Drosophila melanogaster: one gene and its partners. The gene in region 1 interacts genetically with each later gene. Each region holds a gene or a part of one and is shown in the gene's direction. Other genes may lie near its edges.

What was found.
Region 2: of dlp (region 1) and Sulf1, changing one enhances a phenotype caused by changing the other (phenotypic enhancement), as found in Drosophila melanogaster (one study listed by BioGRID).
Region 3: of dlp (region 1) and ihog, changing one enhances a phenotype caused by changing the other (phenotypic enhancement), as found in Drosophila melanogaster (one study listed by BioGRID).

Annotation. Positions count from the first base shown.
Region 1 is NT_037436.4:14,630,897-14,641,035, forward strand, and holds the start of dlp (dally-like), read left to right. Parts: upstream 1-1,704; 5' UTR 1,705-2,176; coding exon 2,177-2,486; intron 2,487-10,139. Other genes in the region: RecQ5 helicase, read right to left, coding at 1-922, 985-1,087.
Region 2 is NT_033777.3:16,333,110-16,343,528, reverse strand, and holds the start of Sulf1 (sulfated), read left to right. Parts: upstream 1-3,953; 5' UTR 3,954-4,218; exon of another isoform or gene 4,219-4,586; intron 4,587-4,985; exon of another isoform or gene 4,986-5,684; intron 5,685-10,419. Other genes in the region: pad (poils au dos), read right to left, coding at 1-485, 541-923, 983-1,135; SF2 (splicing factor 2), read left to right, coding at 1,638-1,801, 1,931-2,300, 2,583-2,707, 2,767-2,875.
Region 3 is NT_033779.5:6,939,529-6,950,693, reverse strand, and holds ihog (interference hedgehog), read left to right. Parts: upstream 1-1,885; 5' UTR 1,886-2,200; intron 2,201-2,269; 5' UTR 2,270-2,280; coding exon 2,281-4,941; 3' UTR 4,942-5,230; downstream 5,231-11,165. Other genes in the region: SA1 (stromalin 1), read right to left, coding at 1-21, 85-155; Gas41, read left to right, coding at 578-1,103, 1,162-1,319; Fgop2 (fibroblast growth factor receptor 1 oncogene partner 2), read left to right, coding at 5,698-6,645; CG18304 (uncharacterized protein), read left to right, coding at 9,776-9,957, 10,013-10,083, 10,961-11,165. UniProt on the Drosophila melanogaster protein: Mediates response to the active Hedgehog (Hh) protein signal in embryos, functioning upstream or at the level of patched (ptc).

The DNA of each region.
Region 1 (10,139 bases):
TGATAATAAGCAGCCACATTTTGGGGTACATCCCAGTGGATAACGAAGCGCACACTTGGTTTGTCCACACCCATTCCAAAACTATTGGTTGCACATATAATGGGCTGATCACCCCGCATCCACGCTTCCTGGACTTCAGTACGTTCTCCTGTTTTCAGACCAGCGTGATAGGCTACTGCTCCGATTCCCTGTTTAGTTACCCCTATCGCCATGCGCTCCACTTGGTCTCGAGTCCGGCAATATACGATTCCGCAGCCTCTTTGTGGCTTGGGTGTATCCTTAAACTCCTTCGGATTGCCCAAGCAGTGTCTGGCGAAATCTGCCAGGTGCTGAAAGTCATCTTCGATAGAATTCTTGTAAACAATGTCATAGAAGAGGTTTTTCCTGAAGCTAGGAGTGCTAAATTGAGCCACGGGTTGGTGGAGGCGCAACTGCTTATATATATCCTCCTTGACTTCCCTTGAAGCTGTGGCAGTCAAAGCCAACCAGATGACGTCGGAATATTTGGAACGCAGCTCCCCCAGCTTTAGATAGTCCGGTCGAAAGTCATGTCCCCATTGGCTAACACAATGCGCCTCGTCGACTGCAAAGTAGGCAAGCTTATTGTGTTTATGGAGGGTTTGCAGCAGGTCTTGAAAAAACTTGGTGGCGGCCTGTTCCGGGGTTATGTAGAGAAACTTCAGGTTGGTTCTCACGGCCTTTAAGTCCATTATAACACGATCCCTTTCTTTGGTGCTCATCTTGGAGTTCAAAGAATCCGCCGGCACTTTCAGTTTGGTTAAATGATCTATCTGATCTTTAATCAAAGCCAAAAGCGGAGAAAAAACAATGGTTATTTGATTCTCTGACATCAAACCAGGCAATTGGAAGCACAGGGATTTACCCGAGCCCGTGGGCATCGACACATACACATCCTGCTTTTCTGTAAGAGAATTACGAGAGGTATTATCTGCGAGATTGGGTAAGAATTTGGCCAATATTCACTTTTAACAGCGCACTTCACGGCTTTTTCCTGTAGATCCGATTTGAATTTCGAGTGGCCAAAATGCTTTTTCAGCGCCTCGTGCACAGCGCTTTCATGCGCCATACTTGGGCTGTTATTTAAATTGCGTTTTATTTAAATAAACATTGTTTTGCTTCAGACCAAAACTGGTTGCCGCCAAAACAGCTGGTTTAGAGATGAACAATGCGGCTAGATAGTGGCTTTCGATAGTGTGGACCTTCCTTTATCGATGTCACATATTTCGAATAAATTTAGATGTCCACACTATTTGTTTTGTACACAAAATATTTTAAATGTGATTAAATAGGCATTCATCTCGCCTATAAGCGCGACATGGAAGTTTTACTTTTTGTGATTAAATTATTCAAAAACCATTTAGCTTACCAACCAATTAATAAATATACAGTCGTGTGTTTGCAAACAAAAAAAATTTATGGTATGTATAATTGTATATGTATAATAATTTATATGTATGTATGTATTAACAGGACCAATCTATTTCTTGTAAAACTTTCGTTATTTTATTTTTAAATTTCACAACTTTCTAACAAACGTTTCCCAGAATGGAATTCTCATAGCCTAGTGACACTGTACATACCTAAAAACGGTGTAAGGCGATAGACATCGATAGCCGCGGTCACCAATCGATAAGCGCAGGCTGAAAAGAATCGACGGTAAGCAGTCGAAATTCAAAGAGACTTCTCAGTCAAAATTTTATAGCCGACTCGCGAGCACGCGCTGTGCTGCTTCTTCCTGCGTTGCGCGCTTTGCTTTCAATTCGCCTTTCGTCGTCGCGGGTGCGTGTGTGTTGGAGCGAGTGCGTCTATGTGCAGTGCGTGTGCCGCTATTTGTTAATTGTTAATAATCCCGATTTAATAACACCCGACAACCATGTTGCACTTCAATTGCTTCTGAACGCAAAATGCGCACTGATAAACGCAAACGACAAAAATAAGTTTCATAATAATAATAATGCCGGCAAACAAAGCGGTGTATTAGTGTGCGTATTTCAGTGTGGGTGCCTGCGTTTGCCAAAATTATTTACCGCAAAAAGAACAAACACAGTCAAAACGATTTGAATCCCAATCGAAACTAAACGACAACAAACGCCGGTGAAATTAGCCCTGTCTCTCGCTCTCTCTTTCCCCTTAAAATAAAGAAAGAGTTATCAAAATGCTACATCAGCAGCAACAACAACAACATCTGCATTGCAGAAGAAAAGCTACAGCAACAACAACTGCCCGCCTTGTGATATTCAGCAGTCCTCTTCTACTATTACTACTCACCACCCACTTGCCGCCCACCTTACAAGCGGACAATGGCCCCGCCCCCCAAGTGGCCGCCCTTGCCGCCCCCAATCCGGCGGGTGGCGTAGCAGGGTCTTCGATCATCGATCAATTCAGTCCGAATTGCAGTGCTGTGACACACATTTTCCAAGCGAGAGGAATCGATGCCATCGAAATTCCCCAAAAACCCAGTAACGGTATGTCCGATATTATATACCAATGGCTTAATAAATACCTGTCGAGAAATATTTATTATTGTAAATATTTAAATTTTAAACAAAGTTATAATTACTTCTTGTGGGTGAAATGTTCAGATCATAAAAATTTTTTTTTAATTTTGAAATACGCTTTAAGTGAAGGATATTAAAAAAAAAACTTAAAGATATTTTCAAGAACTCTGGTACTTTAGTAGGCTTATTATAACTTATTGCCTTCCCATATGGTGTCATTCAAATAGTACAAATTTTAATTTGTAGCGATGTTTAAAGTGCGAAATGGTTGAGGTAGTGCCATTCTTAATGCAAAAAAGATAAGAAAATCCATATCGTGGCAATCAGATCTTTTAAAATGTATACTTACATTGATATATGTAGTATGGAAAAGTATGGTTAGTATGGAAAAATGGACTATAATCTTTAATAAAGTTATTTAATAAGCTTAAAGACCATATTATTTATCCAATGGAATTAAAAACTCAAAGCAACTAATATTGGTATTACCCGAAAAAGAATCCGTATATTTCATAACAATAGTAAATTGCCGGAGATAAGAAACAAGTTTGATTCGCAAAGGAACAAAGAGAACTCGTGTATAAATTGGACGATTCCGTGATTCATTCTGTTCCTTCAACGCGCCTGCAGAGCTCCCTCCACTCCCTCCGCCCCCTGAAGGAAATAAAATTCCAGGCAAATCAACTCGAAATGCGAATAAGCAGCAGCACAAGACAGGCTCTAAATAAGAGAGAGTCCGTCGCGGAGAGCGTGTCCATCCCAGAGATCTTGGCGCATGCGTCGCCTGCTCATCGCAGCCCCCATTTCTGCCCCCGGTCCATTCCTACCCAGTGGGGGCAAAGGGTTCCAGTTTCCAAGACCAGTCCAATAGGCAGGAGCAGCCGCAGCGAAAAATCTCAAGAAATTCCTTTTTGATGAACAAAAAAAGGAAATAAAATGAGAAGAGCGCGGGCATACAGTAGAGCATCGTTGGCGTGAACTGCGTGAATTACCTTTTATATGTTTATGGGATATGCTATAAGAGTTATTTAAAACTGTTAAGGATTTCTTAATTATTTCTATTTTGAGATGCCATGTTTTACAAAGTTTACGAATCTTTTAAAGATATTGGACTGTGGAACCCATTTACAGGCTCTTTACCTAGTGCAAGAGCAAAAATGTTGTCACACCGCTTTTACACATAGTTTAATGGGGTATAAGGGGTGGAGAGGGGTAGACCTAGCCTCGACCTCGATCGCCTGTGGGTTTTACTTAATTTGTATAAATCCTGAATTAATCACGCTTAATTGCAATAAGTTGCGCTGCCCTCTCTTCGTCGCCTTCAGTTTCTCTCCCTCTCTCTCTGTCTCTCTTTGTTTGATTTGTTGCCAGGTAAACTGTTGCAGCCTCTGCCCTTTTGCCCCACCCCATACCCCTGTTCCAGTCCATACCCCTGCCCCTCCTTTAGTCCTCTACCTGCGCCCTGCCTTTGTTTATTTTTGGTTTTCAACGTTGCCTGATTGGTTTTTTTTCCCTCCCGATATGTTTTCCTTATTTTTTATCTTTTGGTCAAATGCATTGCGCGTTGCGTTGCGTTTCGTTCATAATTTCATGGAAATGTCTGTGGGGGAGGGGGGCGATGAGGGGCCAACAGGTAGAGTGGTCAGTTCTCGAGTTCCCTTTTGTGTTGTCTTTGATATTAATCAAGGTGTCATTGAAATCGTTTAAATTATGCAGTTCAGGATTTTTATTCTCTGTCGGCATTTTTATGTGAACCTTTTACTTCCCGATCAACTCGAACCCCCGTCCCTTGGCCATCAAAAAACGAATGCACTCGAATTATTAAAGCTAATCCGTAAATAATATTTTAATAAGTTTTTCTGGTCCAGTAGGATTGCAATCAATAAATAATTCAATTTATGTTGACGTATTAACATTTTATTCATGTTCATGTGATTGTTATTCAGTGCTTTTCAAACAATAAAACAATTAAATATTTAAATGGAAAATTATTTATAATAGGACAAATTTTAATAACAGATTTCTTAAATTTATGCTAAGCTAAAATGCCATTATTCTTTACATTTAATTTTTCCCAGTGCACAGCTTCTCTTTCCACCGTGTGAGTCATAAATTCTTGTGTTGCGTCCTCTCTTCTCGTTCGCTTCTTTCCATTCCCTTTCCATTCACCTGACCCCCACCCTTCGCGCCTTGTCCGCCTGATAAGCGCCAGCATTTAGATAAAGTTTCCGACCTGTTCTTTTCCCATGCCTTCTCGAATTGCTTAACTGGGAACTACTTTTGCGATAGGTGTTTATAGGGTCTTCTGGATGGAGTTTCGTGGTTTTGTAGGCCAGCTAACTGGTGAGGCTGTGCGTCTGATAAAGCTAAACTTCCATTTGCGATAGGTGAACTAGTTTATGAAACGTAGACTTTTTGGGGCCAACATATTGTCGTAGGGAAGTTCTTCAAATTGACTAAGGTTGGTCTTCGTTGAATATATATATAAAGTAGCTAGTTAGATAGTTTGATTTTAATATATAATTATGTCATTTAAATACTGTAAATGCTGTAAAAACCCAAGACCATATTTGCCAAGCAAAAATTTCGTACATATATTTAAGGTAAAATTTTGAACAGTCACGTCTAAGTGTTTTTGGCCAATTTCCCAGCGCTCTCATCTTCACACTTCAGGCGCATTCCTTTCCATTGAACCATGAAGAGCAACAAACATTGGGCAACAACAACTGCATGACACCTTCCGTGCTGCACAAACAACAACCATGGCAAACAACAACTACAGCTGCCACTTAAACGCTTCATTAAAGCTGCACTTCCTGTGCCACATCAAAAAGCTGTGCGAACCCACTTTAACCCCAACCCCCTTGACCATCGTCCCCGGCTCGCCATCATCATCAGTGGTAGGCAGGCACTTAGCTGAAATTGTTTGCACAATTTAAACAGTTCGCAAAACATTAAATCGTTAAAAATAATATCAGAGGAGCGGGCAAGAGAGACTCGATGCAGAGGGAAGATTGGCTTTGTAGATCGCAACTTAAAATACCCTTAAATTGTGATTTTCATAAAAAGTTATCGATAGTTTCAATACTTATTCTATAGTTTGTTTAATAAAGTGAACGTAAAAGGCATTTTCTTCTACAAAAATTTGAAATTTTATCATCAAGATTCTTAATTTTCTTAAATAATACTACCAAATCCTTGGTACAACCCTTCTGTAAGGTATTGAATACTCTTTCGAGCCAACCAACAAATTTCCCACACAGAAACGATCACCTTGCTTCCTCCTATTCTGCATCTCTCTCCCATCCATTATCCATCTTTGTCTGCCTTATGCCAAAAGAAATTTGCAACAGAGCTGATTTTAGTTTACTGCGCACAGCAGCAGTGCTTTCACTCACTGAAAAAAAAACATATTTATAGTTTGATTTAAAAAATTTGAATATATTGTTAACTGTACATTTTTCATTTTAGGCCCCTCAATAATTTTGGGAATACAATTAACTATTCTAACATCACTTTAATGTGCATAATATACGAATCACCGAATCTTCATTAACTTTATTTCCGTGTACGGTTGCTCCACTTCGATGGCGTCTCCACTGGCTGCACTGCATCCGCCGACTGCCCCTGACCGCCCCCTCATCCCGCCTGCTTCAAGGCAACCACCGCATGACTATTAATCATTTTCCAGCAACCAAAACTGAATGGCCCCATCTTGTTCTCTCTGTTTCTCTCTTACTCGCTCTTTGGGCCCTTTTCTTTAATTTTTTTTTTTGTATTTTTTTGCACTGTCGCATTCCTTGGCCGTGTAAAAGGAAGAAACTAAGCGAGCGGTTTATATGGCACTATATCATCATCATCTTCATCGGCGTCGTCGGCGTGTGATCATCTGATATATACTTCTGCAATTGTTGACCATTGTATGGAGGAGGTTTGGGTTCGGGTTTCGATTGGAATGCAGATTAGATAGGGCGGGGTATATAAACGAGTAGGAGTTGCTGTCTGGTGTTTGTTTATGAGGTCATTGAGGGGATAAATGGTGCGTTTATCACGGGGGCTTTTCGCATATTGGAACTTGGCTTTGGGTATATAAAATCTAAAACTTATGAAGCTTTTTTAATATGATTAGCAAACAAGCATTAACGAGCGATCACAAAGTTTGAGCGCCACTGACAACCCACTAAACTAGATCACCTAACATCTGGTAAACCGAAAGCTTGCCAAGAGGCACCACTTAAAAAACGCGATCATGATCGATAGCAAACTCTTTCACGCGATCTCGCCCCCTAATATGCCATTACAATTACTCAGTTCCTAGGGGCTACTCTTAGCCATCGAGAGATCATCTCAATTGCTTGGCGATCTCAAAAACCAGCTGGTGCTATCTGATCCAGTGATCGGTGCTGGGATTCCAGACATTTTGCCCACAAAGTCAACACTTGCTGAGATATCTCGCACTAAAGATCGGAGATCTGGGCAATTTCGCGTAATTAGCTGACGATGCTGACAGAAATGGGATCTCCCAGCCGGCAGCCACTGCTGTGACAACAAAAGCCAAAAGAATCGTCAGCAAATTTTCTAAGAATGAATCCTGTGGATCGCGGATGATTCAAGTTGGATTCGAGTAAGGGATAAAATGAAAACGAAACCGGGGCGGAGTGAACGATCGTGGCTGGGCCAACGACTTAATTGCCGGCAAGTGTCGGTGGAGGATACCAAAAATAGGTAGAGAAGAGAATCCCAGACTCTCGGCCAGACTTCCAACATTCCCAGTCATCTCGAGCAGGTCAAACGTGGCCACTTTATGGAGCGAGATAACATTTTGCCTGTGTGGTCTCACCTCAGTTGCTGTCTCTTTCCCATCTCCGTTGGCTGTCTCTTTCGCGGTCTCAACTCCTTAAACAAGTTCTCGATGCATTCCGAGTCCATTTCGTGCCTTCATTCCATCGGAACAGTTGAAGCAATGACTTTCATATATGGCCATCGTTGAAATGCCTTTTTCGGGAGTGCAGCCAAAGAAAGAAAGAGATGCCTAAGCAGGGCTAAAAAGAGATAGATAGAACTGGCATTTTGTTGTAAATTTATTTTCGTGGTTTCTCTGGACCAACTTTACCCCAACACCTCTGTGTAAAGACCAGGAAAATGCCTTTCAAGGATATCCCCTATGCCAAAGATATTTCGGAAATGTGGTTACTCATTCTCACGGTCTGATTTTCATTTTTGGTCCTAAGAAGATGGTGTAATACCATATAGCAAAAGCTATTTCAGCTTTGAAAATTAACATGGCATACAATATTTTAATATGGGCAAGGAATGGACCACATATTTGGTGATAGTTATTTTAAAAATCTTGTTACCTTTTCTCACGCTCTGATTTTCATTTCTGTACCAAAGATTACGCAGTAGATGGTTGGGTAATTACATAACTTAAAGCCCAGCAATTAGCCACGCCTCTAAAATGGTAGCGCCGAATAACAATTACATTTAACATGTTTATTAATAAGCCAGAGGATAGGAAGATGGAGGGACAGGGTCTCAACCATTTGGCGGCTCCATTTGACCAAAAAGATAATTAAGTAGTTAACCAGCTAAGAGCCGCAGATGAAGCTGAGACGGAGACTCCACTACCTTGTTTGGTACTTCACTGGGAAACTCTGTACCTCCAACGACCCTCCCGCAAATCTCAAACCTTTTTAGCTTCACCCACTTTTGAGTCTCAAGCAAATGAAGCATTAAATCGTGCAAACAAACAAGCGAAACAAACTCACAACTACAACAAAGTTATAAATGCCGACTCTAGATAATAATAGTAGGCAAAGTGCAGGAGAAGAAACGGCAGAAAAGGGGGAGTGGCAGTTGGGAGGAGGCAGGCAGCATTTACATAATGAGCATGTTGTGGGTTAAGACTCTTCTCTACCGGCTCTCCAATCTAGGAATGCCAAGAAAGCGAAGTTTGCAAAAGATTTTAGTAGAGTACAGAGACGAGAGAAAAGTAGAGTGGAGCTAAAGCAGTGGGCGGTTCTTGAAAACTTTGTTAAGATATCTTAACTAAGAATAAGTAGAAAATGAAGCCAGACGGTAATTAAATGAGTGGAAACACTTTTCTTGGGAAAACTTTTAAAAAGAATAACATCGTGGTGAAAGAAAACTTATTTTTAGCATTTCCAGGCTTTAAAAGTACTTTATTTTTAAATTCGTAAAATGTCCCATGCTCCAAGAAGAATGATATAATATTTTTACTTTCATGAAACTAATACTTAACTAAATACGAATCTTTATGAATCGAAAGAACTTGAAAAATTTGCATTGAGTCAGATCCGCCTGCACATGATCCAGAAAAGTAAACCTTGAATTAGTTCTCTGTGGCAAACCATTGGCCTCTTCTTTGGAGCTCCTCATTACCCATTTTGATGCACCGACTCCCTCATCAACCACCAGTTGGTCTCAGACGATCCTTGGTTTCCCCTCAAAACAGATTTCAAGCTTCCCATGGAACACAACACTGAAAAAAACGGTAGTGCCCAAAAGCATATATGCAGGATGTTTATTTGTGTGTTTATTATGACTTCCTAGACACATCATGATTATATTTCTTAACGTGTATCCAGAATCCAGGCATCGGCGAGTGCCTTCGGTTATTTTCATTGCCTGGCGAGCATGACGAATGCCAAATTGCCGGGGCCAAGAGCTCAGGAGAACGCAAAGCCGCCGGTTGCTGGGTTCGAGTTGATTTAATTGGGTCACATGAAAGATTTGTTAATTTGTGCCACCTACTTTGATGGCGCGTTTGCAGATAACACGGTCCCGGCGAATGGAGGCTACGCCGGAGAATGTCTGGCTGGCCCCTCGGAAAATCAAGATGCGAACCCAAACTCCAACTCTCGCAACCGATTCGCAGTGAGTCTGTAATTAATGCCGGTCGTCTACGTGCGTGCCTAAAAGTTCATTAAAGAGCCGGGACCGAGGTCCGATGAGGGCTCTTATCCGCAGGCCCAGACATGGACTTCATCGTCAAAAGGTCGTTTCCCAGCAGCTCTGATCTCCTTTTAGTGTTTGGCTATTACAATAAAATGCAATTGCCTGGCCAACCGGCCTGGCATCCATTTCGTACAGTTCGTTAAGGGTTCGCCATGCAAATCTCCGCCTAACCTTGCCCATTTGTTATGCGTTGTCCTAATCTGGCAAATAATGGTATTCAATTAGTTTTGGTCCAGTTTCTGTTTATTCGTCTTGAGCTCAAGTGCAGAGATGAATGTGCTTTGTGTATGGAGGGCAGATTACCCTGGATCAACTCAAGGAGATTGCCATTGTGCAGAGGAAGAATGCAGACTGTGTAATCTGCCCCTTCTCATACTGCGTCATGCCATTAAATTTGTTGACAATTTCATTATGCCCCAGACCTCCAGGCATAAAACACATTAAACGGCCGTAAAAAAATACCCACAAAAATTCGAAAATTAATTTTGTATATAAAATATTTTACCACAACGGCTTGGAGCGTTGTTCAGAGGTCATAAATTTGTGGGTTTTATTGACCAAAAGCTACCGGAAACCCGTCAGCGCCTCCTCTATCTCCTTCTATAAGGTGCTGATAATAAAATGGAAACTAATTTTGACAAA
Region 2 (10,419 bases), on another chromosome or scaffold:
TGGAGAGCAGGGCAGCAGCATTTAGCTGCGTCTGGGCAGGAACTGTCCCTGCACTTGTCACTCCTCCGCTACCTGGCATCAACTGCAGCTGTATTTGCGGCTGACTGCCACCGAATTGCGGCATTGAAGTGGTGAACTGGGGCGCTGTAGGCGAAGAGAGCACAAAGTTCAACTTTGGCTTTTTACTGTCGCCAGAACTTGACGTATCATCCTGAGCGACGGAGTACTGTGTGGTAGCCTGCAGCTGGTTGGTCAGTTGCTGTAGTTGTTGCTGAAGCTGAAGTTGTTGAATCTGCTGCCACAAAGGCTGCAGTTGATCGCCTAGCTGCGGTTGTAACTGCAACTGAGTAGGGTTTATGGTAGGCGTTACTGTCTGGGACTGCAGAGAATGTTGCTGCTGGGGCTTGGCAGGCGATATGGGCTCCTTTTTCCCCAGCGGCGTTATCTTGATGTCAGGCTTGAGGCGTATAAACTCTTCCAAAGCACTAAGTGGATAGAATGTTATTGAGATGATTTTCATGAAAGTGAATTCCCACTCACGTCTGTCTTTCGCTTTTTATTTGAACTTCCGGCATAGCTTGATGCTGCTGCTGCTGCTGCTGTACCCCGTTGTCCATCGTTATGGTGTACTGCTGCTGGGGCTGCATGTTTACCGCCTGGATTATGCTGTTCAAGAGATTTCCGGACTGCTGAGCTCCATTAGGAACTGGTGGAGCTGACTGCGCCACACTGAGGCTCTTCCCAGTTTCATCGACCGCATCCCGAATGTATAGCTTGTCGCTGCTTGGCGCCGGGCGAATATTGAGACAGTTGTTTAGCATGGTCTGTGAGTTACGGCAAGTGGCGCGAAGTCCGTGGATTTGCTCCACCAACTGCACACACTGGGCGCACACCACTTTGGGCAAGCGATCCTTTTCATCGATCTGCAAGAAGTATGGGTTTGTTAGCCAAAAGTAATGGGAGATTGATGCACTAGCACGACCTGCAGTGAGAGACACTCGAGTATCTTTTGGCTCAGATTCTTGGCGCGTCCCTCGGGTGAGTAGATGTTCGTCTTGTGATCGCTGCTGTCCGTGCAGATGCGACACAGGTCGTAGTAGTTAATGCAGCGAACGTTGCTTCCGGCCGCAGCCATTTTTCCGGTGGCTCAGTGGTTTTCGAAATGCTATTTATGTTTAGTGTATTGCACATGCAAATATTTGTTGTCTTTTCTTCGACTGAACGACGCTTAGTGGTGACACTGCGCGAATACATTGCAGCTCGGCGTGATTGGCAATAACTATCGGTAAATTATAATATAAATGAAAGGAACGACATTATGTTTACCCTGCCTTATAACCTTTAACCGAGGAAATTCCACAAACTTCTTAATTTATTTCATTCTAATAACTTATTCATTCTAATTCCCAACTAAGCGAAGTAAGTACTTACAGGGTAGCTATCGATATAAGCAACGAAACTTCCACCTATAGTTTCGTATCAACGTTATAATTATCGATAACTACTGTGCACCCAAGGGATTTACCCAACTCGAACTAACGGTCATACTGCGTCGGCCATTTGTCATTGTGAGCGTGACAAAAATAAGTTCTCTGAAAATCGAAATAGATCGAAGCGTCTGATTTAAACTGGAGAAAATGGGATCACGCAACGAGTGCCGTATATATGTGGGCAACCTTCCCCCAGATATACGCACCAAGGATATCCAGGACCTGTTCCACAAGTTCGGCAAAGTAACTTTCGTCGATCTGAAAAATCGGCGTGGGCCGCCATTTGCTTTTGTTGAGTTCGAAGATGCGCGGTGAGTAATGCGAATACACACAGCTGGCCCAGCGCCCCGGCTAAGACACCCAACTAATTCGCGACAACTGCTTCTCTTCCTTCCTTGACCATGGTCCATATCCTCCGGCTGCCTCTTGGCCCAATTTAGGGATGCCGACGATGCGGTGAAGGCGCGCGACGGCTACGACTACGATGGGTATCGTCTGCGCGTGGAGTTCCCGCGGGGCGGTGGTCCTGGAAGCTACCGCGGCGGCAACCGCAATGACCGAAGCCGCGACGGTGGGGGACGGATGGGCGGACGCGGACCGCCAGCCAAGCGCTCGCAGTACCGCGTCATGGTTACTGGACTGCCCGCCTCCGGATCGTGGCAAGATCTCAAGGATCACATGCGCGAGGCCGGCGACGTCTGCTTCGCGGACACTTACAAGGATGGTTCCGGCGTCGTTGAGTTCCTGCGCCACGAGGACATGAAGTACGCAATCAAAAAATTGGACGACTCTCGCTTCCGATCGCATGAGGTATGTAAATTGTCCAGTTCCAACTTTGTAAAATTCAAATGTATTCGGGTTTCAAGGTAGAGAATTTACTTTTGCATTTATTTTGTCAGCATACATTATTCACAGGCTGGAATAATTAAATATGATTTCAGGAATAACATTAAGTTATATTGGTGTAGATGCTTACACTTACGCCCTTAAATGTGTCAATTTGATAAACATCTAGTTCACATTCCTGTTTACATTTTGAAAAATAGTTTGGCGACATTATTCAAATGATATTAATATTTTTATTGTCTTTAGGGCGAGGTTGCCTACATTCGCGTACGCGAGGATAGCGGTGATAACGACAGAGGCGGTGGTGGTGGCGGCAGCGGTGGAGGTGGTGGCGGCAGCGGCGGAGGTGGAAGCCGTGACTACCGCGACAGGTAAACCAAATATTACCACAGTTCATTTTTCAATATTTATTCTATGAATCCCTCCACAGATCCCGTTCGCGCTCATTCTCGTCGAGGCCGCGCCGTCGTGGCACTCCCACATACTCCCCAGTGCGACGTCAATCTTATTCCAGGTCTCGCTCACGTTCTAACTATTAAACACAACCAAGCATTATCCATTAATCTATAATATTTTAATGAGCAGGAAACAGGAAAAGCAAGCTATATTAGGAAATACCAATCAATATTTGTTCAAGACCCCTCAAATACCCCAATTGTAAATTGATTTGTAAAATGAAATCAACGACCAATCAAGTTTGTTCAGTCAAGTTCCGAACTCTCACCGAAGCCAACATACTTAAAAAAGAAAAACACTTGCTTTTCCAACTTATCACACGTTCTAAGAAGCAGAAATGTTCTCTTAAGTTATAATCCACCGGGCAAAATTTGACAAAAACAGTTCTAAAATGACAACTGTAAACCAAGGAATTCTCTTTGGCCAAAAGCACTCGGCATTCCTTGATTTGCTTTTGATTATCTTTTGAGCCTTTGCTCAGTCTGCTTCCTACATATTATATTATAACTCTTATTTTGGCTGCACGTTTTCCAAGCTAATTTATTAGAATCTACCTTAACGAAAACAAGAAACATCGATACAGAATAAATATGTTTGTAATGAGATAAAGAAAAGAAACAGAAATCCGAACACAACGCAATGTCAACCACATTGATAAGCAAACTATTAATACTTTAATTTTTATTTTCTTCTCTTCCCCATTTTGCGCGTTTATGTTTGGAGAGTGATGAGGATGTGGAGGATGAGGATTAATGGATGTGGAGGAGGATATTTTGATGTTGATTTTGGCGTGGATTGGATAAATTTGGATTGAATTTAGTGGAGGCAGGACCTGTCTATAGATCTTATAAATATGAAAATATTTATTTGATTGTAATCAGGATTGGATTTGGATTTAGGATTGTTCTGAGCCCTTCGCTAGGACAACGTGGGATGCAGTGTCCCATGGCTAACTCGCACCTCGGAGGAGGAGGAGACAGGAATTTCGCATTGTTGAAGGATTTTATGTGTGAACTTTGGTCGTGTTCAGGTTAACGGATGTTTGGAGGAGGAGAATGTCGATGGCATCGTTGACGGTGAGGAACACTTGCGTTGCCCTTGGACAGGACTAAATCATACAGTTTCGGACTCGGCCGCATCTCTTCGAGCCTCGCCCCTTCTTCGGCATCTGCCTAACGGTCGGGATTAGGATTCGCTTGGACAGGCTCACACGCTTTGTTGTCGCCTTCTTTGGATCGCACTTCAGAAACTAGCTCACCCAGGGAACCGCGTATTTCGTGGCCTTCGCGCCCCTGTCGTTGTCATTTCACGGATTTGCTGTGCATCATCCAACGTTGACTTGCGCCCAACGCTGGATAGTGGATAGTGGTTCTTGGTCTGGTCCGATCCGATGCGTTCCGGTCTCCCTCTGTCTCGCCTCTCTGTGGTATGTTAGATTGCCACATCAAATTTAACTTTTAATTTGCGTTATTTAGTTTATAATTTATATACTCTTTACCCAAATCTTTCGTCTCCATTGATATTGTTGCCTCTGAAATGTGGCGATTGTCGCGTGTGCGTTTTGTTTTTCATTTTTTTTGAATAGAAGGGCGAAAATTCATAGGCCCCGACTATAGCCCACACCCGCATCATTTGCATGAACTTTCGTTAACCTAATAAAAAGTAATACCACAGCAATTTTGGAACAGAACAGTTCTCTCGTTCTCCTTGCTTATCGATCAACATATAAGCCATAGTTCTAACATATTTTTGAAATGAAATACACATTTACAATAAATATTCATAAAAATTAAGAAAAATGTCATGCTTTTAATACAACATTATAAGATGGGTGCAATCAAATACTTTTAGCAATTTATCTTGCTGAGATTATGAGCTTAAAATTAGACTGCTAGACTCGTGTAGCAGGTATTTGTGTTTATGGGATGTTCCTGTACTTATGAAGATTACAAATTAAGTTTGCTTGTATTATCTGCAGGAAAGACTTCTGTTCTGGATTTCACAACCTTTGCATTCCGAATCAATTTTAAACTTCCCGCTTATGGATTTTTACAGAGGACTGTTATTAGGGCAATGATGACCGTATTGTTTTAACGCAAAATACCAGATTTCTCTGTGCGAAAAACGATTTTTGGTCACTTTGCAGCACGGCCACACTGGCAAACAAACTATATAAGCAACACGCGCATTTTGTTGTTGGGTTTTTCAAAAAATATTCACCAGCTGTTCGGACGCGCGTGGGAACTGCTCTGTGTTTGTTGTTTTTTATAATTTCGAACGGAACGAACTGGTCGCATACGGATTTTAATTTATATTTACGTACTAAGCTAACGCGCGCTGTAAAATAAAAGTAGCGTAGAATTTCTAAACCAACCATCTGACACGAGAAAAGTGCGCCAAAAGTTCGGAAAACCCGTAGAAACCCTGTTGAAAGTACGAATTGCATGTCAAAATTGCTAACCCACGTAATAATGAATAACAAATAATTCGGAAAGTGCAATTTCGTGGGCAGTCTTTCGACAGCTGAAGGAGAAGATATCGGCCCAGATAGCCGGCCCTTCGTTTATGAATTGTGTTTTGTGGCGGTGTATCCAGCTTATCTCCGCCTTGTTCGGCTCCAGTTTTATTGAACTCTACCGGATCGGACGGTACTACCCATCTGGGGATAGTCAGTGGGACTGAGGAAGCTATTAATCGATCGCGATTGTACAACCAATTACCGGGTTTATCACCTAATTCGAAGCCGCTCGGCACGACGCGAACTATAAATAGAAGCTGAAGTGTCCAAATAATCGGTAGACAGCGCTCATGATCACAATCGCAATAGTGTGTTAAAACTACAACTACTGGAAGTTTAAACAGATATATATATATATTTAGATATAGCCTGAGGTAAGAAGTGCATTTTATGGATGTTTTGCATGCCCACGGAACTGCTGAGATCATTAAAGTTGGCTATTGAAAGCGCAGCATCAGCGAATTCCCCCTAGGAGTCATTGTTCTCGCTTGAAACTTAAAAGGTTTTTTTATTGATCATAACTTGAAATTAGTTTTACGGGGGGAAGATCGACTGATCCAAGCAAATCATGCGATACTAGTCGTTTGTGGTCCTCATCAGGCATCCCAACTTGTTTGGTCTTTGTTCTACCGACTGTTCAACAGCACTTCCTCAATATTCCTGAGTGAAAGTAAGGCTTGGCTTCGATCGTTTGACATTGGTAATGTGACCCACTTAGGAGTAGGGTGCTTCTTTGGTAACTCGATCTGTCAAGCCAGAGGTGTTGCCTTGTGGCTACCTACTACCTAACTAACTGCTTGCAATACAACCTGCGTAGGGTCTTCAAGGTCTCCTCCCCGTCGGTTTCCTGTTCATCTAAGCAACCACTGTGAGAAAACTTGAGCTGTCTGTAGGAACACCTAGCATCAATATACAATTATGTGTGTAAAATAAGCATCCATATTCAGCAGCAATTTTTAGAATCCAGTTTAATTGTATTATGAGTATACATTGTATCTAGGGTTCCATACATTTCTTGCTAGTTATTTGTAGCAGTGCATATGTGTGCAGGCAGCTCGTTTGAATCCCTTGTGCGTCTCTAATCGGAGACCTGCCCATATGACCGGGCTCTGCTCTTTGTCCTCCCCGGCGTGTTAATCTTTTGTTGTGATGAGATGCTTATCACACCTACCGCCGCCTTGCGACAGGTGCATTCTGAAGTTTCCGCTGGAGCGAACCGCAACTGGAAACTGGCAACTGGCAACTGGCAGCCGTGGAAATGGGAAACCCTTTTCGCTCGACCATTCAAGTGCCGCTGTTCGTTTGACCGAATGATTGACGGGCGGCAACTGTGACCCCTTAACCCCTTGTTGCCGGCACTCAATGGGCCGCATCGCGTAAGCAATTTATGTTAATTGTTGTTTGCCTGTTGTGCCTTGCCTTTTGGACCGGGTCCATTCACTAATCGCTTGGAGGAAATTTAATTTAATGCGTATAACGAAACCACCCTTAAAATTTACCGATTGCTGACTAATTGTGGGAATTTTTAAATAATACCAGATACCCAATAGCAAGACAACTTTTTGCCTTAACTGGCAATTCGAAGTAAAACAAAAGATTTGTTTGCTAGATGATATGATTAAGTCGCAACATCAACAGATAAGATAATTTTTTGTTTATATAGAAGAAATAATATCTCTGCAATTCTGCAAAAAATGGTGTCCCATAGTTTCAGGGAATTCATTTCGAAAGCTTGAAAAATGCGCTACAAGCTTAAAAAATTTAAATTTAATAGTATGTCTTAAGGGTATTTCAGTTTCGTACAGATTTGTTTGCATTGAAGTACCTTGTATTTTCCAAAGCCAGTCTGGACAAGCATTTAATTAGACACTTTTTACTTTTCCCAGCATAAGACACCAACTTTTATCCGCCGCGGCAACAAGTTGAAGACACGAGTCTGGCCCGTCTGTCTAATTGTTTTGACTGTGGCAATTTCTCCTGGTCTTTTTAGAGTTGCAGTCCGAGCTGGAGTGTGGCGGCCAGGAACTGGTTTGCCCGCTCCACGCAATCCCAGAGCTTTAATTCGGTCAATTCAGCGGGAGCGGCATAAGGCGGCTAAGGCTCATGATGATGATGATGACGATGACTAACGCTGGCCCCAAGGCACCGACCAGGCAACGAGAACGATCCAATTTGGCCTTTTACCGCAATCAGGTTTGGGATTCGGTTTTAGTTTTCGGTTTTGGTCCGCTCGATACGATACGTCAACGGGCCGACCGAATGGATGAATGAATGAATGCCCAGCTGAATGAGCGATTGGTGGCTGAATTATTCAGCTGGCCGGCAATCCATCATGCTGTCCTCGGAACTGGTTGACCAACACCACTTAATGAGTGGAAAAGGCGTCTCCGACATTTCCCATTTGCATCCCCATTCCCCGACGATTCATGCGATTCCCCATCCCCATCCCCACGCAGAGTCATTAGCCAGCCGCAAACTATGCCTATATGGGCTGATACCCCGTCAAACATGGCTCGCATTAAATACAGCCATAAAATCGGCCGGGAGGCGTGTACCATGGGGCACGCGTTTGGGGCGCCGTTTAATTGCGGTGCGCGATTTGCAAGCGTTTTTAAACGCCTCAATTTGCATTTGCATACTCACTGTCTTCGCTCTATGAATGGAAAATTGAACGCCCAATGGAGCAGTTGGTTATGCATGTCACTATAATAGTGAGGCAAGTGCAAATTAACACATGCACTGGGGCATCAATTTCAATTATTCTTTGTCCCTCTGAAAACTGATAAGGACAATGGGTGACGAGCTCGCACTATCTTGGGTTAATTGAGTAGTGAATTAAGTTTTATTGAAAAGTTTTAGAAACTATTAGAGATAGGAAGCTGGACGGACGCAGGTCGGCGGTGGGACATTCAAATAGGGCATGCTTAATATTAGTTTTTTCGGCTAGACCATATGTCTAAGAAATTAAATCCTATGTACTTCTTAAATCGTATATTTTTCATCAAAATAACTAAATTCAAAGCCATAGCATAGTAAATTGTATTTATTTTTAGCTTTGCTCTGCTAGACGCACCATTAACTTATCGTGCACCATCGGTTTGTAGTCCTATTTTACGACTTAGCCGCATGTCTGGCCGCAAGGCGCGTTTAAAAACGCCAGTGAAAAGCCAGCAAATCGCGTCAAACATTAAAAACATTACCCTGAACCGAGAGGGTTGGCCCTGGTAATTGTAAGCGGCTATTAAAATAATTTAACGCGCCTCCGTTTGCTGGCTAAAGGCCGCAAGGACGGGGCAGTAAGCATTACCCAGCCAGCCCGAAGGGATTAACATAATTTTTGCTAATATTGTGAGCGTGGCTCGCAGCACATAATGCGCTTAGAAATATGAAATGAATAAAGACTGCATTAACCTGAATGGTGGCAACGGCAGCAGGAGCAGCTTCAGCAGCTGCAGGAAGGATTGCGGCCACGGATTGTGGAGTGGTGCACGCAGGCTGAGCTGAGCCCAAAACTTAAGGGTGACGAGGAGGTAGGCGGCGGAAAAAGGAGCATGATCCATGATGAGCTGTGCGGCAGGAATGCGCCAAAAGGCAGCGACGCCGACTGCATTAAAGTGGAAAATCCTGTCTGACAACATTTAAACCGAAAAGAAATATATATGTACACAAACCTATAGTAAATATGTGCAAAATAAAGCCAACAACAAAAAACCACAAACAACACATAATAAGCGTGAAAAAAGGCAAAATGAGAGCAAAACCAACCCAGTGCAATTCCCAGACTTGGTTCCACTCCGGGCCAGAAAGGATAAAGTGGGCAATGAATAGGCAGTGTGGCTAGAAGAGCAAACCACCAACAAACAAAGGAAAGAAAACAAAACGAGAAAATTGTCTTCAACTGCTAGACGGAATGAAATGATACCCTAGAAAAAGTAAACAATTTAAAATTTTTTATCGTTTTCAAGATAGAAAATCCACCGCAAAAGATCACATTCACACATAGTGAACATTCTGAAATAGTAGTGATGCAGATCAATATTTACACTGTCTATCATTGTTGTAGTTTCAAAACAAACGTAAAACCAAATACTTTTTAAACATGTATCCAAAGTAACAATAATAATGCCGTTGTCATGCTTTATCTATACTCAAAGAATTTAGATTAGCCTACAATTCATAAATGTTCAAAGAGAACTGAAACATCATGCGATTATGATTAACCAATTGCTGAAAATATTTCGGACACCTGATCCACAGGCCCACTCAGCTCTAAAAGCATTCCGATTTGCACATTTTCGCGATTTCGTTTCCAAAGAAGGACGGCGCTAAGAACCGCATTTATAACATCAATAAAAGTTCGTGTTTGTTTACGTGGAAAACAAATTAATAATGGAAAATCACATGTGGTTTTTCACAAACCAAACACAAAAATCGAATAACTCACCCACTCGCACATGTACATATACGAAGAAAAGCAATTAAAATCGCGAAAAAAAACAATAAATTTGTGCGATTTTGGTTTGGCAAATCGCCCTTCGCCCAAAAATCTAAATATGAAGTTAAAAATGTGTCCAAATGATATCCCGGCTAAATGAGGTTCAAACTACCACAGCTGATGATTAATGATGCGTTGGTGAAGGCATTTATTAATGTTTATGAATAATTTGTTCACATTTAACAGAACTCCTCGATGTTTAATAATTGCAATCGAGTGCTAATTGAAAACGTTTCCAGGAATTCCGTGTGTTTTTGTTCAAGCCATTTGTATTGCTGTCAACATATGCGCGTTCAATTTATCAGGTAGTTTGTGTGAGAAGTCCACTGGCAACGGTGGATTTTGTTTCGTTGAAAGTGTTTTCTGGTGAACCCATTCTTCGATATGAGGAACCACTCCATCGTGTCATTTCCGTTCAAATTTCTACATTGACGAATTGACAAAAATATATCATGGCATTGTTTCCTGCAAATGTTATAGCAACCATATTGTCAAAGTCCGCGGCAGAGAAAAAGGTAAAAAAAAACAAGGTCCGACCCAAAAGCTCTTTCTTGGCCTAAACATGTTTGTTCTTTGCCCTTTTTCGGGCCAACACTTTACCGGGAAAATTAACG
Region 3 (11,165 bases), on another chromosome or scaffold:
GTGCTCTCATTCAGGGCATCGCTAAAAAATAATTACATATTTCTTATAGGCAAACACGAATGGTGGGAAAACGGAGAACTGTACCTGTGCAATTCCTCGTAGTCCGGCGGCGGATCATCCATACGTATGCGCTTTCCACCGCGACGCGCCATCATTTTATGTATTTGACTGTCTCACTGGTAAATATGGCTTCAAATCATTTAATTTTAAATTAAACAATAAAATTTGACCAAAGCGTCCGATTGATACAAGTGATGGAACCACAACCCACAATACAGTGCAAAAACAATCGAAAGACGCAATCGGAAACAAGGGATGCAATTAAGAAATAAGAGTGGCTTAAACTTAAAAGAAATAAAATACAGCTAAAATATTTAAATTAATTATTGTGGAATTTTCGTTAATTAATTAATAAATTAATTAAATAATTAATTCTTTTTTTTCATGTCCATAATTATATTCAGCCCTGGTATTCAGTGCATCCATATATCGATAACAACTGCTAGCCGAAAAGCAAGAAGAAGAACCAAAACAATATTTAGTTAACGAAGCATAAACAACTTAAAATCGTTGAATTATGACTGACTTTGGCGGAGACTCGGGTGGCCGACTAAAGGGCGTAACTATAGTAAAGCCCATAGTGTATGGAAACATTGCCAGATCCTTCGGCAAGAAGCGCGAGGAGGACGGACACACGCATCAGTGGAAAGTCTATTTGAAGCCCTATTTCAACGAGGACATGTCCATTTACGTGAAAAAGGTGCATTTCAAGCTGCACGAGAGCTACGCTAATCCGAACAGGATCGTAGTTAAGCCGCCCTACGAGATTACCGAGACCGGATGGGGTGAATTCGAGGTGATCATCAAGATATACTTCAACGATCAATCAGAGCGCCCGGTTACCTGCTACCACATCCTTAAGCTCTTCCAATCGCCTGTGGTCGATGGCGAGCTCTCCTCTAGCACCACTATGGACACTAAGAAGGGCCTGGTCTCGGAGTCGTATGAGGAAATAGTGTTCCAGGAGCCCACCCAGATCTTGCAGCATTATCTCCTGCTTTCAGAACAGAGCGCCAATGGGTTGCTAACCCATGACACTGACTGTAACTATGAGCTGATTACCATTTTGAATGTTTACTCATTAGATATATACTTTTCTAGTTGAGGAAAAGAAGACGAAAACGTTGGACAACATTGTGAATGTAAAACAGAAGGTCAAGGGGGAGATTGTTACACTTAAGGACAAACTAAAGCTGGCACGTGAGACCATTTCGAAGTTCAAGGCAGAATTGGCGAAGGTGCAGAAGCAACCTGCGTAAAATGTGCATAATTCTCTATAGAAATAATCTAAAAATTATTAATTAAATAAAATATTGGAAAATGTATTTTATTATTTTAACGGTGATATCCAATTCTTGGCTTCGGGTAACTAATTCAAATCTAACAAAACGGTTTAGGACATAATTTTATAGTATTGCAAATTATATCGATGGCTATTGATGTGGATCAGTGCAGTCTCTATAAACAGCTGAATTCATAATTCTATATAAATGTACAAAGAAACTACACTTCAAATTCATTGACTATGGTGCCATTGACTATATAACGTCGTAAATCTTACATGATTTGGTGTTTATTATTTTCTAAAAATATATGTAGCTTTTGTATAATATAAATTAATATTAATATTACTAAATATTTTTTTACTTAATTAAAATCAATTTAATAACGAGTGCTTTTGAGTAAGTTTCAATATGAACTGAATAAATGAATTTGATCTGATACCAGATAGATTCAGTCCACTGTACCGCGATGAACCGATGAATTCGGAATCACCGGTTCGCCGGTGAACGATGCAATGCATCTGAACCAGCGTCGCGGTTCGTTCTCCAGTTCCAGTTCCAGCATCCCCATGGAATAATAAATGCCATTGTTTATTTGACTTGTTGAGTGCATGTGCTTGTCCGGTGGCTTCGGGGCCCGATCGAAGCCCGAATTAAAGATACAATGATTTTATGGAGCTGCGTCGTTAACGTGTAATGTGCATAAATAATTTAGGCCCACGATTCCACGCACGCACACAGACACACATATGTATATAAGCCATAAGTGATGCGCGATAGCCGAGAGTGAAAATTATTAACTGCGCAAACGCAAACGCGTTTCCCCACCTAGAATCAGTCTAAAATCCCATAATAAGGTGAGTAATGCCATTAACTCTTAATCCTTTGAGTTCAAATATTCAATGATATTTTCGTGAAATTTTCAGTGCCCCCTCCAATGACGCTGCTCACATCCTCGCTGCTGCTCTTTTCGCTGCTGACGTCGCGGCTCGAAGCAATTCCGGTTTTGGAGAAGTCCCCCGCCCATCCTGCCCACTCTGCACATCCCGCACATCCCGCACATCCCGCACATCCCGCGCATCCATCGCCTGGCGTGCGAATTCTTCGCGCACCCGAATCTTTGGTGGCGCCCCTGGGAGACGAGGTGGTGCTGGAGTGCGAGACCAGTTTGCAGCCAGAGCGCTTCGAATGGAGCCACCGGTCCAGCAGATCTCCGGGAGCGGGGTTCAAGTACCTTAAGACAGGCACGGCCAAAGCGAATGTCTCCCAGGAGGCGGCCATCTCGCGACTGAGGGTGCTCGTCCGACCAGACACTCTAGGCGAGTACCGATGCGTTGGCTGGTTCGGTCCGCTGGTGGTCACGTCTACCATTGCTCGATTGGAGCTGGCCAGCACTAGCCTGGTGGACGCTCAGGAATCGGAATCACCCCTCCAATGGCGGGTGTCTGCTGGAAACTCTGTGCTCTGGTCCTGCGGACAACAGGTGCAATCGAATCCATCTGCCAGTTGGTCCTACTATCGAAACGGAGTGGAAATCAAACCGGAGTTCATCGGAACCAATGGAAATCTTTTTCTAAGCAATGTATCCTCCGAGTCGTCAGGCAGCTATTCCTGCCAGGCAACCAATCCTGCCTCTGGCGAGAGAATTCAGCTGCCCGGCTCGCTGCAACTACAGGTTACACCAGAGCAGAGGTCGGAGAGTAAATCTCCACACTTGCTCAGGGGACAGCCGAGCTCCCAAGAAATTACCATACGCGAAGGGAGTTCGCTGTTGCTGCTGTGTCCTGGAGTTGGCTCACCGCCACCGACGGTTGTCTGGAGCAGTCCCGATGTCGTGGGAGCTGTTAAGAACAAGCGTTCGAAAGTATTTGGACACGCTTTGGAGATATCCAACACCCGAGTTAATGATGCTGGCACCTATATTTGCTTTCAAGATAATGGAGTGCGGCCTGCGTTAGAACACTACATAAAAGTGCATGTCGAGCAGCCGCCTCAGATTGTGCGACCACCCTGGGCCGATCTTACCAACGAGGGCGATCGTTTGAAGTTGGAGTGTAAGGCCACAGGAGTGCCAACGCCAGAGATCTACTGGCTGCTGAACGGTCACAGCAGCATCGATGATTCTGAGGCTGAGCTCTCCAATAATTTCCTGATATTGCACAGCGTCTTGAAGCGTCATGCGGGCTATGTCCAATGCTTTGCACGAAACAGACTTGGTGAGCACAGTGCGGGTACACTGCTGCAGGTGAATCCCAAGCAGATTCAGGAACCCCGGGAATCGGGGGGTACACACAGGCCCAAGCCCAATCAGGGTTCCAGGCAGAAGCAGATGTATCCACCGACTCCTCCAAATGTAACCCGACTTAGCGATGAATCCGTAATGTTGCGCTGGATGGTGCCCCGAAACGATGGGTTACCAATTGTCATTTTTAAGGTTCAGTACCGCATGGTTGGCAAGCGCAAGAACTGGCAGACAACCAACGATAATATACCGTATGGAAAACCGAAGTGGAACTCCGAGCTGGGCAAGAGCTTCACGGCTTCGGTGACGGACCTGAAGCCTCAGCACACCTATCGTTTCCGCATCCTAGCCGTTTACTCCAACAATGACAATAAGGAAAGTAATACCTCGGCGAAATTTTACCTGCAGCCAGGTGCAGCACTTGATCCGATGCCGGTGCCAGAGCTTCTGGAGATCGAGGAATACTCTGAAACCGCTGTGGTGCTGCACTGGAGTCTAGCCAGCGATGCGGATGAACACCTGATCACTGGCTACTACGCCTACTATCGACCCTCGTCCTCGGCAGGGGAATATTTCAAGGCAACCATTGAAGGAGCCCATGCTAGAAGCTTTAAAATAGCACCCCTCGAGACGGCCACCATGTACGAGTTCAAGTTGCAGTCCTTCAGTGCCGCCTCTGCATCCGAATTTAGTGCCCTTAAGCAGGGGCGCACCCAACGTCCCAAAACCAGCACCACAGAGGAGCCAACACTGCAAATGGGCGACCGCGATACAACAACTCCCAGTCATAACGAGACATTCAATATGAGTCCCATGCTGACGGGAACAATCGGCGGCGGGGCAGTGCTCATTCTGCTTCTGATTAGCACCTGTTTCTGTGTTTGCCGGCGTAGGAATTCCAGAAGCCGGGGAAACAATCCAAACAAGCCACGGATGGCGGAGCTGAGAGATGACTTTGTGCCGCTGGGCAACTGCTCGCCCACCAAGCAGCGCCAGCGAACACGACACATCCACATAACCTTGAATCCACTCGCCCAGCAGCAGCAGCAGGCGCTGGAGGAGAAGAATGACACAGACCAGGATGCGCCCTATTATCAGCGGCCGTCGAGCTATGACTACGATCCCACGCTGCGCAGGATGTCCTCCTCCTCGCTGCGTCGCTCACAACGCACGCTGGAACGTGCTGGCGGCAGCAATGGCTCCAACAACGGCAACAACAACAATCTAAATCAATCCGCAGAGGCGGGTTCCATCGAAAATCCCGGCAAGCCGGGTCGTGTACTCATGAAACGCCCCCGTCTGTCCAGTCGCTCCGAGAACCTCTCCTCCGGCAGCCTCAACAGCGTTGGCGTGTAATCGCAATCTCGTGATCTTTAGTCTGTGCATCCCTACGCCCGATGTACCATGCTATTCCTCTACCTCTGTTTTATCTACCACTTTGAATGACAAAACCTTTGCTGTTTGTACTTAAATAGGTACTTAAATAGACATAACTAGATTTATGTATGCATGATCGTTTAAGAACATAGCATTATGTCCATTCTACGCTAAGTCTTCCATTTTTCGCGATAAGATCAAAATCTGTACTGATAGCTTCTTAATGACCTATACAAAAATGACAATAAAGCTTGTAGCTTCACCTTTTAACCTTAAAAGAGTTTTTTAACATAAACATAAAGGATTTAGCCAAAAAAATGACATCTCAAGCTAAAAGTTAAAAAACAAAATTATAATTTAAATCTTTGGTATATTTGCGGTATATCAAGTGTTGAAACAGTATTTTTTCGCATTCAATGAGTGGCGTTAGGGATTTGTGCAACATCCGATGGCGTTTGGGATTTAATAAGCTGTCAGCCAATAATTGGGTCGTCGTCAAAATTTCTATTAAAATCGTTTCTATTCCTACATATTTTGGCCGGAAAATCAAATGAAGCTGTTACGCTAGGGACGAAGCTGCACCTTACCCGCACCGAACGTAAGACACTGCTCGTAGGCCCCAGAAAGTGCACAAATTTAAGCGGTTCCCTTTGTTTTCGCAGTGCCAGCAGCAGAGGGCCTGGCCCCCGAAAACAATACAAATCCAAAAATCGCAACTGGACTGAATTGGGCAGGATGTCGAACCTATCCGTGGGCCAGATTATAATGGATGCGCAGCGCATGGCCAGTCGGGTGAAGGACCTGGACGCCCTGGGCACGGCGCTGCTCGAGGAGGCGGAGAACAACAATCGGCTGGTGGAGAGCCTTCGCCAGTATCAGGACGACATTGAATCACTCAACCGCATTTCGAACAACAAGACCAACGCGGACATGGTGAATCGCATTCAGCAGCAAAACATCAACAGCTCGGAGATACTCAAAGAGAATCGCGAGCTAAAGATCTTCATTGAGGACTACGAGCGTGCCATGGAGCTGATGATGCAAAAGTATCGCGAGCACACCGTCTCCAAGGTCCTGGATAGCAAGTTTAGCTTTAAGGAGCTGTACAACGAACGCATGTGGCAGGTGATCCGGGAGCAGCGCGAGAAGATCAACGAAATGGCAGCAGTGATGCAGCTAGCTGCAAGTGTAGATGACGGTGTCGTGCAGCGAGAGCTGCAGACCATATCCCAGCTGCGTCTGGAGAACGAAACGCTGCGCGAGCTGCTGCAAATCTCCAAGCAGTACGGCTCCTCGCAGCGACCGATTCGTGAGAGCGACCACCTGCTGGAGGAGAAGGCTGTGCAAACGGACAGTACGGCGGACGACTCCGCCGACGATCTGTCCATATCGGGCGCCTCGGTGGAAAACATGAACAACAACTCGGTTATCCAGATGTACAGCAGTCCGGAGCAACCGGCTAAAGTCGCCGGCACCACGAACTCATTTAACACTGCACCAGTGCATAGTCAAAGTGAAACACAAGCACCAAGTGTGACATTGGAGACGGCGCCGCCGGGGGAAGAGCCGCTGGCGAATGATAACAATAACGGACCTGCAGTCAACACAACCAGTGCACCGCCGCCAGCGACGACGTCTAACGAATCTGTCGAGGATCAGGCGACAGTAGCGCCCGCAACATGATAGGTGCTGCTGTGCAACGTTGTTGATTCGTTTGGTCTTCATTTGAATCGTATTTACTCACCCACTCACAAAACAGGCCGCGCACGAAGAGGGCCCACATAACCTGCATTAGCTCTTAGCGATTGATAATCTCTAAGTAATTTATACATAATACGAATTTCAACATATTGTCCATACGCATTGAGAACAATGAAGTTTATTATTTAAAACGAGGTAAACACACTCACACCCACACAAATGTAATGTACAATGTACCCTGTCGATTTTATGGTTTGCTAAATAAATTCCAATACAAATCGGGGAATAACCAAAGGAATGAGCATATTTAATTTAACATACAAATGTATTTCAGTAGTGTATTTAAATAAGATGTAACTTTGCTTTAGATTGCTACTCCGTAAGCTAACTAATTCTTAAGTTATTTCCCAAAAGATGTTACGAGTAGAATCCCATCTATTATGCGCCCCTCCCATGAATTTGAATATTTTTGTTAGAAGGCTTTTTAAATTTGGCCATTCTAAATCCCAGCCAAACAGAGAAGCGGTTAAATAATTCATTGGATATGACTCATTGCTTATCGAGTAAGGCTGATCAGAACTTGATATACACACATACTTGTGTGGAGTTTAAATATGAATAAAGTATAGCCACTAAAATTAACATTTGCCACAATGGTTATCAATGGTTATCGAGCAGAAGATTTATGATATAGTCATGTTAATTTTCAAAAAGTCAACTTATTACACAATGAACCAAGTTGAACAGAATCTGCCATGAGAAAAAAAAACAGCAGTAATAACTATAATTTTAGAAGCTTAAGATTCCAAAGGCAAAATATTGGGGTTTAAAAAATTTTAAATAATTTCATTATTGTATTGTTTAAGTTTAATTTGGTTATTAATCAATATGGAAAATTAGGAAAACCAATTTTTTGAATAGATATTATTGAAGTAATTATTATTATTATTAGTTACAGTGTTTTTTTTCTTTAATTCTATCAAATACATTTTTGTAATTTTGATAAATATGGAACCTGAAGTGTAAAAGTAATATTATATGGATACCCGTAAAGATTTATGGCTGAAACTTTCAATTGGCTTGGACTTGAATATTTTTGAATAATTTTCGAATCGCTCTCATCGATTCTCTGCGCCAAAATATCGGTTCTCTTGAGGAAAACACTTTTCTCGCACGACTGGTAGGTAGTTGAAGCTTTCAGAAATAATTTAAATTTAGTTTCTCGTCGATTTTCAACGCGTTCGCAGCCGAAAAAAAAGTGCCAAGGAACTGCGCCCGGTTCGCATGGCAGCCATCTATATAAGTATTTCGAGTGCTCGGGCAATCGACGGTTATATTAAAGCTATATAAATATATAGGCACATACGTGCTTGGCCTTTGTACATGAATGTGAATCGGGTGAAAAATTGAAAACTGCCTGGATCGCATGGTTGATATAAAGATATATCCCTCTAATAATAAGCTATTGATCCAAATCTAACGATATTTCCGGAGAGTCTTGCATTTGAAAATCGTCTGGGTAGATTTATGGGAAGTGCGCTGCCATTTAGCAAGAAGAAAACTATGCTATTTATAAAACACAGCCAATTTCTGTGGCCGTAAATGTTTTGTATAAAGTGAATATTCCAAAATTAAATCAACCAAGCAGCAACCGAGTGTTTGTGTGTGTGTGATCGAAAGTGAACGAAAGGCTTTGGGGATTCCAATCCCTGTAAGAATCTACATATGTACACCAATGCTCCAAACTGCTGTATAATCCGTGTCGAAACGCACTGAATCCCGACGGTTACGCAACCATCAACATCCACATCCACTTCCACATCCAAGAGGCTGGCCCCATTCCCCGTCGTCCAGCCGCAAATTATTCTAAATGCGGAAGTATTTCGTGTAAGTCCACTGCGTTCTAAATTAAGTCACACATTTTGCAAGTGCCAGCGCCGACGAAAAACAGAGCGCCTTAGATGAAAATAGGTTAAAACGCTGGTAATTATTTATAAACGCACTAGGGATTTGCAATCATCGCAGCAGCAGAGCGCACAGAGAAAGGAGTGGTGAAAGCTCCGCGCTTTCTCTTCGCCTTTCTCTTCGCATCGCGCTCTTTCGTTTGAGTTTCGCCATTTTCGCCAAAAGAACAAAAAACATGCGCAAGCGGCGGAAAATCGCCTGCGCAACTAGCTTCCACCTGTGCCAGCTTATCTCGCTCTCTTTCTACTCATAGATCGCTCTAAAAATACTCAAATAGATGGATACATATTTGTTATTGTTTATATTTACCATTTCCATTCGATTGTTTATGCCTGACTGAAGTGACAGATATGAAGGATGATTTGAAATTGAATTAGAAAAGTCAAAGTTTAAGGATGTGAAGCTTTTGTTGTTAGGAGTTTTTTCTTCAATCATAGTACTAGTAACTAGTAAGTTACTTATCATTTTTTAAGTATTCTTAGCAATGGTTACATTTAAATCCAGATTTTAAACATTTTTATAATTATAGTTAAAGTTAATATTTGTATATGTGTATCAATGCGAATATAAGAATGCATATTATCACCTCTTTTTAAAAATAGAATAAATTCCAAGATATACATACATATGTATGTTAAATCGACTTGCTGATTTCCTTTTTTTAGTAAGTTAATTTTTAAATCAGTTTCATTTTTTGTTTCTCAGAGTTAATATATCTGTCTTCCAATGAGGGATAGTTAATTAATCGAAGGCATTGATCTACATCTGCACTTCCAACTCACGTTGACAATAGCCATCAAACCAGGCAGCTATTCAATTTAGAACCAATGGCCAAGTGAATGATAACGAAATGTAAATGTTTAAGTATTTGATGAACGTGTACAAAATTCTTTTGTCGATTTGGCTTAGTGCCAGAAATTCCACAGACTTGCGCAGTCAATTGGGTATTGGGATCGTGCGAAAAGTACATAGAAATAGCAAATGTAAATTTAAAAGATTTTAAACAAAAAGAAAAAAATAAATAAATAAAACCAGTAGTGAGATGTTACGCATACCGTGTTAATTATAAAATAAAGCGTTGGCTTGAGAGGACTTCACACTTCAACTCTTGCAGAAAAAGAAAAGCTGATAAGTTGTACGAGAACAGATGCATCATCTGTACCCATCGCTGAAAGGCGACCAGTTGTGCCCACTCGGCTTTCATCCCCAGACTCGGTATCCCACGCGATGTAAGCGCTGCTTCCGGGATTACAAGGAGCATGGAGCCCGCAGAGCCGGCGAAGAGGTGGCCGCCTCCTCGCCCAATCTCTCCGATGCCCAGAGTTCTCGGTAAGATCTTCCCGGGATTTCCACCTTTGAACATACATAATACTTTATTTTATAGACCCTCTTCGCGGACGTGGACGTCAACTCAAAATCTTACCAGTGCAAACGCAACTAATGGCAATGATATAGGTATGAATGCCACTCGCAACGGTTAAGAAATCTATAAACTTTATGATTAAAATAAAGACGATCACTTTTGTTTATTGTTAATCAGCGCTAGAAGCTAACTTAACTTTGTAGCTGAGTGTGTTCTCGCAAAAAATCATAGTAATGGTATCGAGAACGTGGAATAAATGGAATATTTATATGCATTATAAGCTTAATCTATTTAATAGTATTTGTTAAGTTGTTGATTATAATGTTTGTGTAGAATTCAAATAGTTTCAGTACCCTTGTCAATCGGTTATTGTTTTAAGTATTAAAATTGTTTATGTTTAATACATGTATTAATTAAAAAAACGATTTCTCAATGCAACTAGTAAACTAGAAAAATTTGTCCAAACTCTTAATTTCACTGTTTTATACTTTCATAAACCTGCTAGAAACATAACAATATATGTAGTTTTTGAAATAATTTGGTTCTTAAAGTATTTTTACCATTGAGAAATTGTTCCTCTGACATTTAGTTATAGTAAGTTGCTTAAAAAATTGTTACGAATCTTAATCAATGTGTTTGTCTACTTATCTCTCTCACTCTCACTCTGCGTGTGCACAAAAAACCACCGCCAACTGTGTCATCTCTATTGCTCTGTGTCTGTCTCTGTCTCGCTCTCTCTTACTTTCTCTCAACACTAATCTCTGCATTAAATGAACCGTTAATGTTAACTACTACCATGCCACGCGTGATCTGTACTGCGCTCCCACGCTCTCTCTCTCGCTCGTTCTGTGGCATCCGTTTGTCTCACTCTCGCACCCACGGCTCCGAGTGGAATCGAACGCTAATTGCAAACTGCAACTCGCAACTTGCACCTGCATGCAACACACCTGACGCCCTTACTGAGCCTAGTTGTCCACTTCAATGTAGAGCTGAGGAAGCGTCCGCAGTCATGGGCCTCCACGCCGGATATCGACGAGCCGGACAATGTGGCTCGCCGCCCGCCGGCTACGGCATCCACCAGTCGAGCAGCATCCTCCGCCGAGGATCAGGATGTGGCTGTCACTGTAAAGCTGCCGGTTCCACCGCGACGCCATACCACCGCCTTGGACATCAA